Linked DNA regions of Arabidopsis thaliana. The protein of the gene in region 2 interacts with the protein of the main gene of each other region in a pairwise test. Each region holds a gene or a part of one and is shown on either strand. Other genes may lie near its edges.

Region 1 (3,650 bases), on a different chromosome or scaffold from region 2:
ACAGACCTTAGATTGAGACCCAAAGTCATCATTAGCATCATAACCATATCGTTCCAGCAACAATTTCTTATCCTCACTTGCCAAACCAGTTCCTGAATCTGAAAACCCACAAGACATAAACTGAGAAAAGACAGAACTTTATGAATGATTCTGTGAAAGATGCAAAATTTCACACTTTTACGACTCGAGACGACGAATGTTCGAACACGCAGTGGAGTAGAACCCTTAAAGAGATGAATTTGAGGGAAAGAAGAATACGAAACACCCAGATTCTTATTCATGTCAATGTTGATTCCTAGTGGAGAGAAAGATGACAACAAAACCGCCATTGCTGATAAAGTTTTCGACTTTGGGAGCTTGCAGAGAGAAATCGTCTGCAGAGAAGACGAATGATAGAAATAGAGTTAAAACCTTCTTCCAGAGCCAGAGGATCTATTTCTGTATCAAAAGGTGTTTAATTTTGAGCTTTGTATTTCAAGAGACTTGGTTACTACTTAAGTACTAAGTAAGTACTAATAAGAGAAGAGATATAACTTATTGAAAAAACATAGTTCTTGAAAATCATAAACCAGTTACAAGAGAAGTAACAACAATAGGGAAAAGAAGGGATCTAATAATCGAAATCATTCAAGAGTTGAGGAAACTGTGACAACATCTCTTGGTCTTTATCTAGTATTTCGTCAACGAAGGAACTCGCGGAATGACATGTTCCCGAGGCCTTTGAATCGATGTTTTGAGAGATGTATTCGGCTTCGATGTTGAAATGATGTTCGTTCTGCGTAAAAGTGAGGTCGCTAGTAGCTGAGGATCCCACTACTTGAGGAACCGGGTCCGAGAGAAGGAAATCGCTCCAGTAGAAGTTAGTAACCGGTGTTTGAGGTACTTGGTTTGGCTGAGTGATACTAGTAGAAGATGATGAGGAAGAGCATGAAGATGTGGTTCCATTGAGCAGATGATTTGGATGGCTATAGAAATGAAATGGAGTAGTTTGGTACTCAGAGGAATTTGTAAACATCATTGGAGAGTTGGTGTAATAACTCTCATGGTTTGTTGTTGTGTTTCTCATCATTTCCCAAGCTGAGTTGGATTGTGTGAGTATAGAGTTGTTAGATGGTTCTGTTTTGAAGGATGCATTTCCATGGCCGCTAATGTTTCTGAATTCTGCAAGGAGTTGAGAAACCGGTTTATGAGTCACCGGGTCTATCCCCATTTTCATCAGCTTCTTCTTCAGCTTTGTGTTCCAGTGATTCTTCACATCATTATCCGTTCTTCCTGGAAGCTTTCGTGCAATGGAAGACCACCTGAAAACATCAGAGGTTACAATTATTACTAATGAGATAAAAAGTTTGATAGATTCTTGTCATTGTTAAAAAGTTAGTTAGCAATTAGGTTGCTTCATTACCTGCTGCCAATGGCTCTATGACACTCAATGATAAGCTCTTCTTCTTGGGTAGAGAAGCTGTCATGTTTAAGGTCAGGTCTTAAGTAATTAGTCCATCTTAGTCTACAGCTCTTTCCACATCGATTCAGACCTGCGCCGAAGAACGAAAAATAACTCAGACTTGTTTGAAATGAGATTTCTTAAGAGTTAAGAGAAATGAGAGAGTTTTTTTTTGGAAAAACCTGCTTTTTTGGGGATCAAGCTCCAGTTTCCTACACCATGGATAGCAACATAAGCAAGGATCTTAGCGTCTTCTTCCTCGGTCCAGAGACCTTTCTTGACATTGGACTTGTCACAACAAGGAGGTCTTCCCATTTTTTGGTATTCAAACACAAGAGAGAAGATGAAGAAGAAGAAGAAGCTGAGAAATGTCTGAAAGGACAACAACAAAGGCTTTATGGAAATAGAGTGATGCAATGCAAAAGCTCTGAGAGAGAAAGAGAGAGAAGGTGAGGATCTCATGCTTGAAGGCTCCTAATTAACGGTAATTGCATGATTGTTACACTTCATTAGAAATATAGAGTCTCGAAGTGCATGACGTAGTTTTGGCAACTATCATCTCATGTACACTACTACTGATTGTATAATACTTAATTCAGTTATCATGTATCGCTTGCTTCAGGTTGATGATAACATAAACCGACTTTTATTAAGTTTTGGTCTAGTTATGAACCATAAGGAACATAACTTGCACATGAAACCAGTAACATAGAATCAGAATTATTTTTTTAGTATATAGTTCTAAATTTTTCATTCTATTGACGATATGTTTATCTACCCGAATGGCGAAAACCCGGTTTTTCGCTATACAAAAATTTTGATCCTTTAATAAGAGCTTTGATTTTACTTGTTGTTCTTAAGATGAGCAAGCTTTGCAACTCTTTCTGCAATATCCATGGTCTTTGTCTGAACCAACCATGTATGTTGGATTCTTCTGGCATTCCCCTGCCTTTGCCCATTTTTCGCAGCTCACATTCTCGTCCATACATCCAGATTGCTTATTAAACGCTCTTTCGAATGACTTAACGTGAATCCATCTGGTTGCTGACCATTTCTCTCCCTCAACCACTGGACAGCTTCCATGTAAGCTATTTGAATCTGTGGTTGCATTTGGGTGAAGATTGAAGAACAGTAATGCATCCCCTTTCCTCGGTTTCACTGCAAAGATACATAAATCAGATAGAGCAATATACCATTTGGAAAAATAGTTATACCTTTCATTATCATTTAATCAAACTACTACAATCCCCATTTGTGTTGAGCTTTCACAATTAAGCCAAACGCATGTTCAGGATACAGTATTCTATATCAAGCAAGCTATATACAGTGATCTTACCTGCATAGCCTTGTTTTGCACATTCGGTCCAGCTATCGTCTTTCAACTGAGTTGCTTTACCCTACAAGAATGTGTGATCAAACTGAAATGAGGCTACTCAGGAAACGAAATCGAAATATTAGATGAAAATTTAAGGAACCAGAAGTAATATATGTCTTTACCTTCCACATGGGAAACACTGTTTCTCCTCCCTTTTCAACATTGGACAAGTACATCAATACTGTGGCAATCCGATGACCACCGAGCTCTAGATTAGCCTGGTCGTGAAAGTAGTCAAAATGCGGTTCATACTTTTGACCATTCTCATAATGCAATATTTGCATGGATTCACCATTCTCTGATCCGCAACACAGACAAAAAAGAGATGAGAAGTTGTAAGCAACTAAAGTCTAAACAAAGAGACAGAATTAGGAAATCTATGTACATATGGCCAAAAATACCTTCGGGAAGAAAGGTCCACGCAGCAAGTTTTGCCTCCACATTACTTACTATATCATCCTACACATACATAGAACCATACCATTCAAACTCAAAGGTTAACAATCAGTGAATCACACAATCTCTAGACTATCCATATTTGCAATGAAGCTGCTACTTTGTCTAACCACAGAAACAGAATCCTACAGTATTGCAGGAAATGCATGTTTACTTGGTCAAGCGTTGATCAGTAACATAGAACTAGTCTGCCTAATTGCTGAAGTAATCTAACGGAGTACAACGCACACAAAAGCCACATTAGACCTCATAATAACAATCATTCTCCAATGATTAGCACGAAACTCAACATCCAAATCAATCCAGATACAAAACCACCGCTTCTAACAAGTCATTGCAAAGTTCTACGATATAGCCAACATAAATTTCTATAGATGC
Region 2 (3,874 bases):
AATCCGGATCCATTTTCAATTTACGGAGACCACGAACATTGTTATTCCCCTTGGTAACCATGATGCTTCTGGTGACTTGGTCGCTTGAGAGAGAAGGAGGAGAAGATCGGACGGTGGATAATGAATCGTGCTTTCTCAATTTCCCGAGACCATTGTCCGGCGTCGGTCCGGCCACCGTTTCATCCCACAGCTTGTGTAGGAACCCCATCCGATCAACAAAAATTTATCCAAAAATATATAACAATATTTTTTCAAATTATTTCGGGTTTTTATTTTACTGTCTCTATCTTCTTTTTTTTTCCTTTGCAATGGAAATGGTTTTATAGAGGTAGTAGAGAGGTAAGGATGAAAGAGAAGAGAGAAGCATTGAATATTTTTAGTGAGGTTAATTATAAGCTTTGGCTTAATTAAGGAGATTTTAATTTAAGGATAAATATGCTGACTAATCCAATCATTAGTCTCTAATCTCATTGGTGAATATTCTATAAGCTGTGTCTTAACTTAGAATCACAAACTACTAGTTCAGAACTCTACTTAAGAATCACAGAGGTTTTCAACAAGCTATTCAAGTTCAAAGCTTTTTAATTTGCCCATGTTTAAGACAAGAAGATGGATAACAATAACAACAACATGATGATAATCAGAGTCATAACTTCTCTACATTTACACATCCCACAAGGCAGTAACAATAACAACAACAACAACATCAAAACCTAAAATCCAGCTTATCATAGCAAATATCATAGGAACATTTGTGTGTTCAATTGTCAGCTACTTACATTGCCGTTATTCTTGCCATTGCGATCATCATCATCATCAACGATCCTCCTTTCTCCTCGCTGCCTGCTCCTCTCTTCCTCTTCTTGATTGTTCTGTGTTATCTCCAATTGAGTTTTCAAGAACTGCATTCTCTGCAACTCCATCTCTTTAGCAAATTTCATCCTCTCCTTTTCCAGTTCCGCCATTAACTTAAGCTTAGCAGTTTCCGCCTTCTCATAAGCTTCCGTAAATCCAAGTATCGCCCTCGCCACATCTCCAACTCCACTCCCTCCACCTCCACTCTTATCCACCTTCAACCGCTTTGGCATATGAAACGAAAGCGGTTGAATCGGTTGCAAAGGTGGGAGACTCTCAGCAGATTCCTCAGGAGAAGCCTCAGGTTCAGGATCAGACTCAGACTCAGTCTCAGAAGCACTACGTTTCCTAAAATGCCACCGCATCGAATCAGAGCCTCTCTTCTCTTGTTGTTGCTGCACAATCTGATTACCTTTAGTTTGCCGTTTAAACATACTCGAACGGCTATTCCCAAGAGCTCCTCCCATAGGAGCCTTCTCTGAAGCTTTTGAAGAAGCAATGAATGTTGTAGTACCACCAATCAAACTCTCAAGCTTCTTGAAGAAAACCCATTTACTAGGTCCATCACCAGAAGCAATCTTAGCTTTCTCTTGCTTATACTTCTTCTTCACCGTATCAATTCTGTTCTTACACTGAATATCAGTTTTAGGGTATTTGCATTGACGACTCTTGTTCACAATCTCAGCTACTTCTTTCCAATGTTGTTGCTTCAAAGTTCCTTTACCTGGTTCAGAGAATCGATCTCCCCAAGCTTCGATTAGAACCTTTGTAGCTTCTTCGCTCCAACAATCATCTCTTCCTCCTCCACCACCACCGCTTCCTCCTCCTCCTCCTCGTCCGTTTCTGTTTCCGCTACCACCACCACCGGTTACAGAAGGAGTATGAACCACTAACGCTAAAGCGTTCATGGACGGAGATTGAGAAGAAAGCCCCGGTTGTGGTTTCTTCACGACGGCCACCGTCACGTCGTTTGTTGGCAAAATCGGCGGAGAAGGAGGAGCTTGTGGTGAAAGGGAAGAATCTCCCGGAGATGGAATTGACTGAATCTCGTCGTCGTCCTCCATGAAAAATCGATCGATTCGGAGAAGGTAAGACGATCTGAGGATTTTGCAAAATTTTGGATCTGAGATTCGCTCACCGGCGAGGGGATAAGGTCACCGGATAGGTAATCTCCGTTATTGACCCGATGGATATGTTAAATGACGAAAACACCCTTCACTCTTTCCTTTAATAACAAAAGAACAATATTAGAAATTTAGAACCGTGACAGTATTCGAATGGTTTTATGGTAAATACTCAAATATCGCTATAAGGTATTTATGCTTTGGCCATTTTTTCGTTAGGAATATTGAATATACACACTGACGGATTTCAAAATTTCTCTAATATACAAAAGTATTTTTATTTTCTTGTCTATAGTATGGTTAGGTAGGTTGTCTCAAGTCTCAAAAACTCTAACTAAAATAAAACGAGATAAATCAAGTCTAATGGGCTAAGGCCTGGAATAACTTTCAAGGCCCAATAAAAACAGATATAAGAAATAAAAATACAAAATAGAACAAAGACATAAATCAAGTCCAATGTGCTAAACGGCCTATAAATAACTTATAAGGCCCAATAAAAGGAGATTTAATGACGTGGAAGCTTTTGAAACAACTCTCAAGTTCACTAGTTACTTCTAGAAATTTTCTCTGGAACTTTCTAGCTCACTGGTGTTTACTCACTATATATCAATGGAGTGAAAATTTCAAACCCCATACTATCAAATCGAAGAAGAGGAAGATCCAATTGGAAAGGGTTATCCTAATTCCCAGGTAATGATCCTATTCTCTGTATCGATCTTTTCCTGGAAAATTTCAGAATTGTTGATTTTTTTAACTGTTTTGTTTTCTGGCAGTCATTGATCGGAGAAGATGAGTGCTGTTGCGATTAACCACTTTTTTGGCTTACCGGAGGCGATCGAGAAGCTAATTCTCCCGATTTCTCGTTCCGGCGAAAGTAATAACGAGAGTCGTGGAAGAGGAAGTAGCAATAATATCCCAATAGACATTTTGGAATCTCCCAAAGAATACATATTTTATCTCGATATCCCCGGAATTTCAAAATCAGATATCCAGGTATTGATATAATCCCATAGAAATGTTGAATTGTTTATGAAATTAGGGTTTTTTTTTTAATTTAATTTATGATTTGGGGGTTTTGGTGGGAAATTAGGTTACAGTGGAGGAAGAGAGGACTTTAGTGATAAAGAGTAATGGGAAGAGGAAGAGAGATGATGATGAGAGTGAAGAAGGGTCTAAGTATATTAGACTCGAGAGGAGACTTGCTCAGAATTTGGTTAAGAAGTTCCGGTTACCAGAAGATGCTGATATGGCTTCTGTAACGGCTAAATATCAAGAAGGTGTTTTGACAGTTGTTATCAAGAAGCTACCGCCACAGCCGCCGAAACCTAAGACTGTTCAAATCGCTGTTTCTTGAGTAGTTTCTGTGTTTTGTTTTTGTGTGTGTTTGTTTTCTAGTTTGTAATTTTTCTGTGTTTGGATAAAAAGACTCTGTTTCTTTTATGTGTTCTCTTGTCGAAATTTTGAAATTGAAGAAATAAATAGGTTTAGCCTCCAAAACCAAAAACAAATAAAAACGTTGTCGACATTACCACCATAAGATACTCCTAAGGCACTGGGCTCTACAAAATTTTTGTGGATTCTACAAGATTAATGTTATAGGAAAAATTCTAAAAAAAATTCAAACTATTTTTTATTTAGAAGTTTAATACCCAAATGTTTTTAGTCAGAAAAAATACATATACAAATTAAAACATACAAGAATTAATATCTAAAATTTTATATGTTGTTATTTTTATACATGATTTTATGAATAATTAAAAATTTCAATTTTATCTTTAACTTTTTAATTAATTATTTATTTTAATTTAAAAAAATTATTTTGGTTCTCTTTTAACCGGATTAAACCAAATCAAAACTGGTTATTACCACCACCAAATTTTGTTCTTGTCATGTTA

The links. Proteins that work in one complex are often made in the same cells at the same time.
Region 1: the proteins of ASIL1 (region 2) and TDF1 interact in binary tests that used the Arabidopsis thaliana proteins (3 or more experiments, as listed by UniProt).

The regions. Positions count from the first base shown.
Region 1 is NC_003074.8:10,673,969-10,677,618, forward strand, and holds TDF1 (Duplicated homeodomain-like superfamily protein), read right to left. Parts: upstream 1,757-3,650; coding exon 1,624-1,756; intron 1,533-1,623; coding exon 1,403-1,532; intron 1,302-1,402; coding exon 611-1,301; 3' UTR 540-610; downstream 1-539. Other genes in the region: AT3G28460 (methyltransferase), read right to left, coding at 7-98, 176-329; AT3G28480 (Oxoglutarate/iron-dependent oxygenase), read right to left, coding at 2,298-2,599, 2,778-2,838, 2,939-3,114, 3,218-3,275, 3,335-3,397. UniProt on the Arabidopsis thaliana protein: Required for anther development and early tapetal function during microspore maturation. Regulates callose dissolution required for microspores release from the tetrads.
Region 2 is NC_003070.9:20,179,017-20,182,890, reverse strand, and holds ASIL1 (6B-interacting protein 1-like 1), read right to left. Parts: upstream 2,282-3,874; 5' UTR 1,920-2,281; coding exon 768-1,919; 3' UTR 517-767; downstream 1-516. Other genes in the region: AT1G54070 (Dormancy/auxin associated family protein), read right to left, coding at 1-208; AT1G54050 (HSP20-like chaperones superfamily protein), read left to right, coding at 2,769-2,972, 3,070-3,333. UniProt on the Arabidopsis thaliana protein: Transcription repressor that binds specific DNA sequence such as the GT-box-like motif 5'-CGTGATT-3' in the AT2S3 promoter. Negative regulator of seed maturation genes during seed germination and seedling development.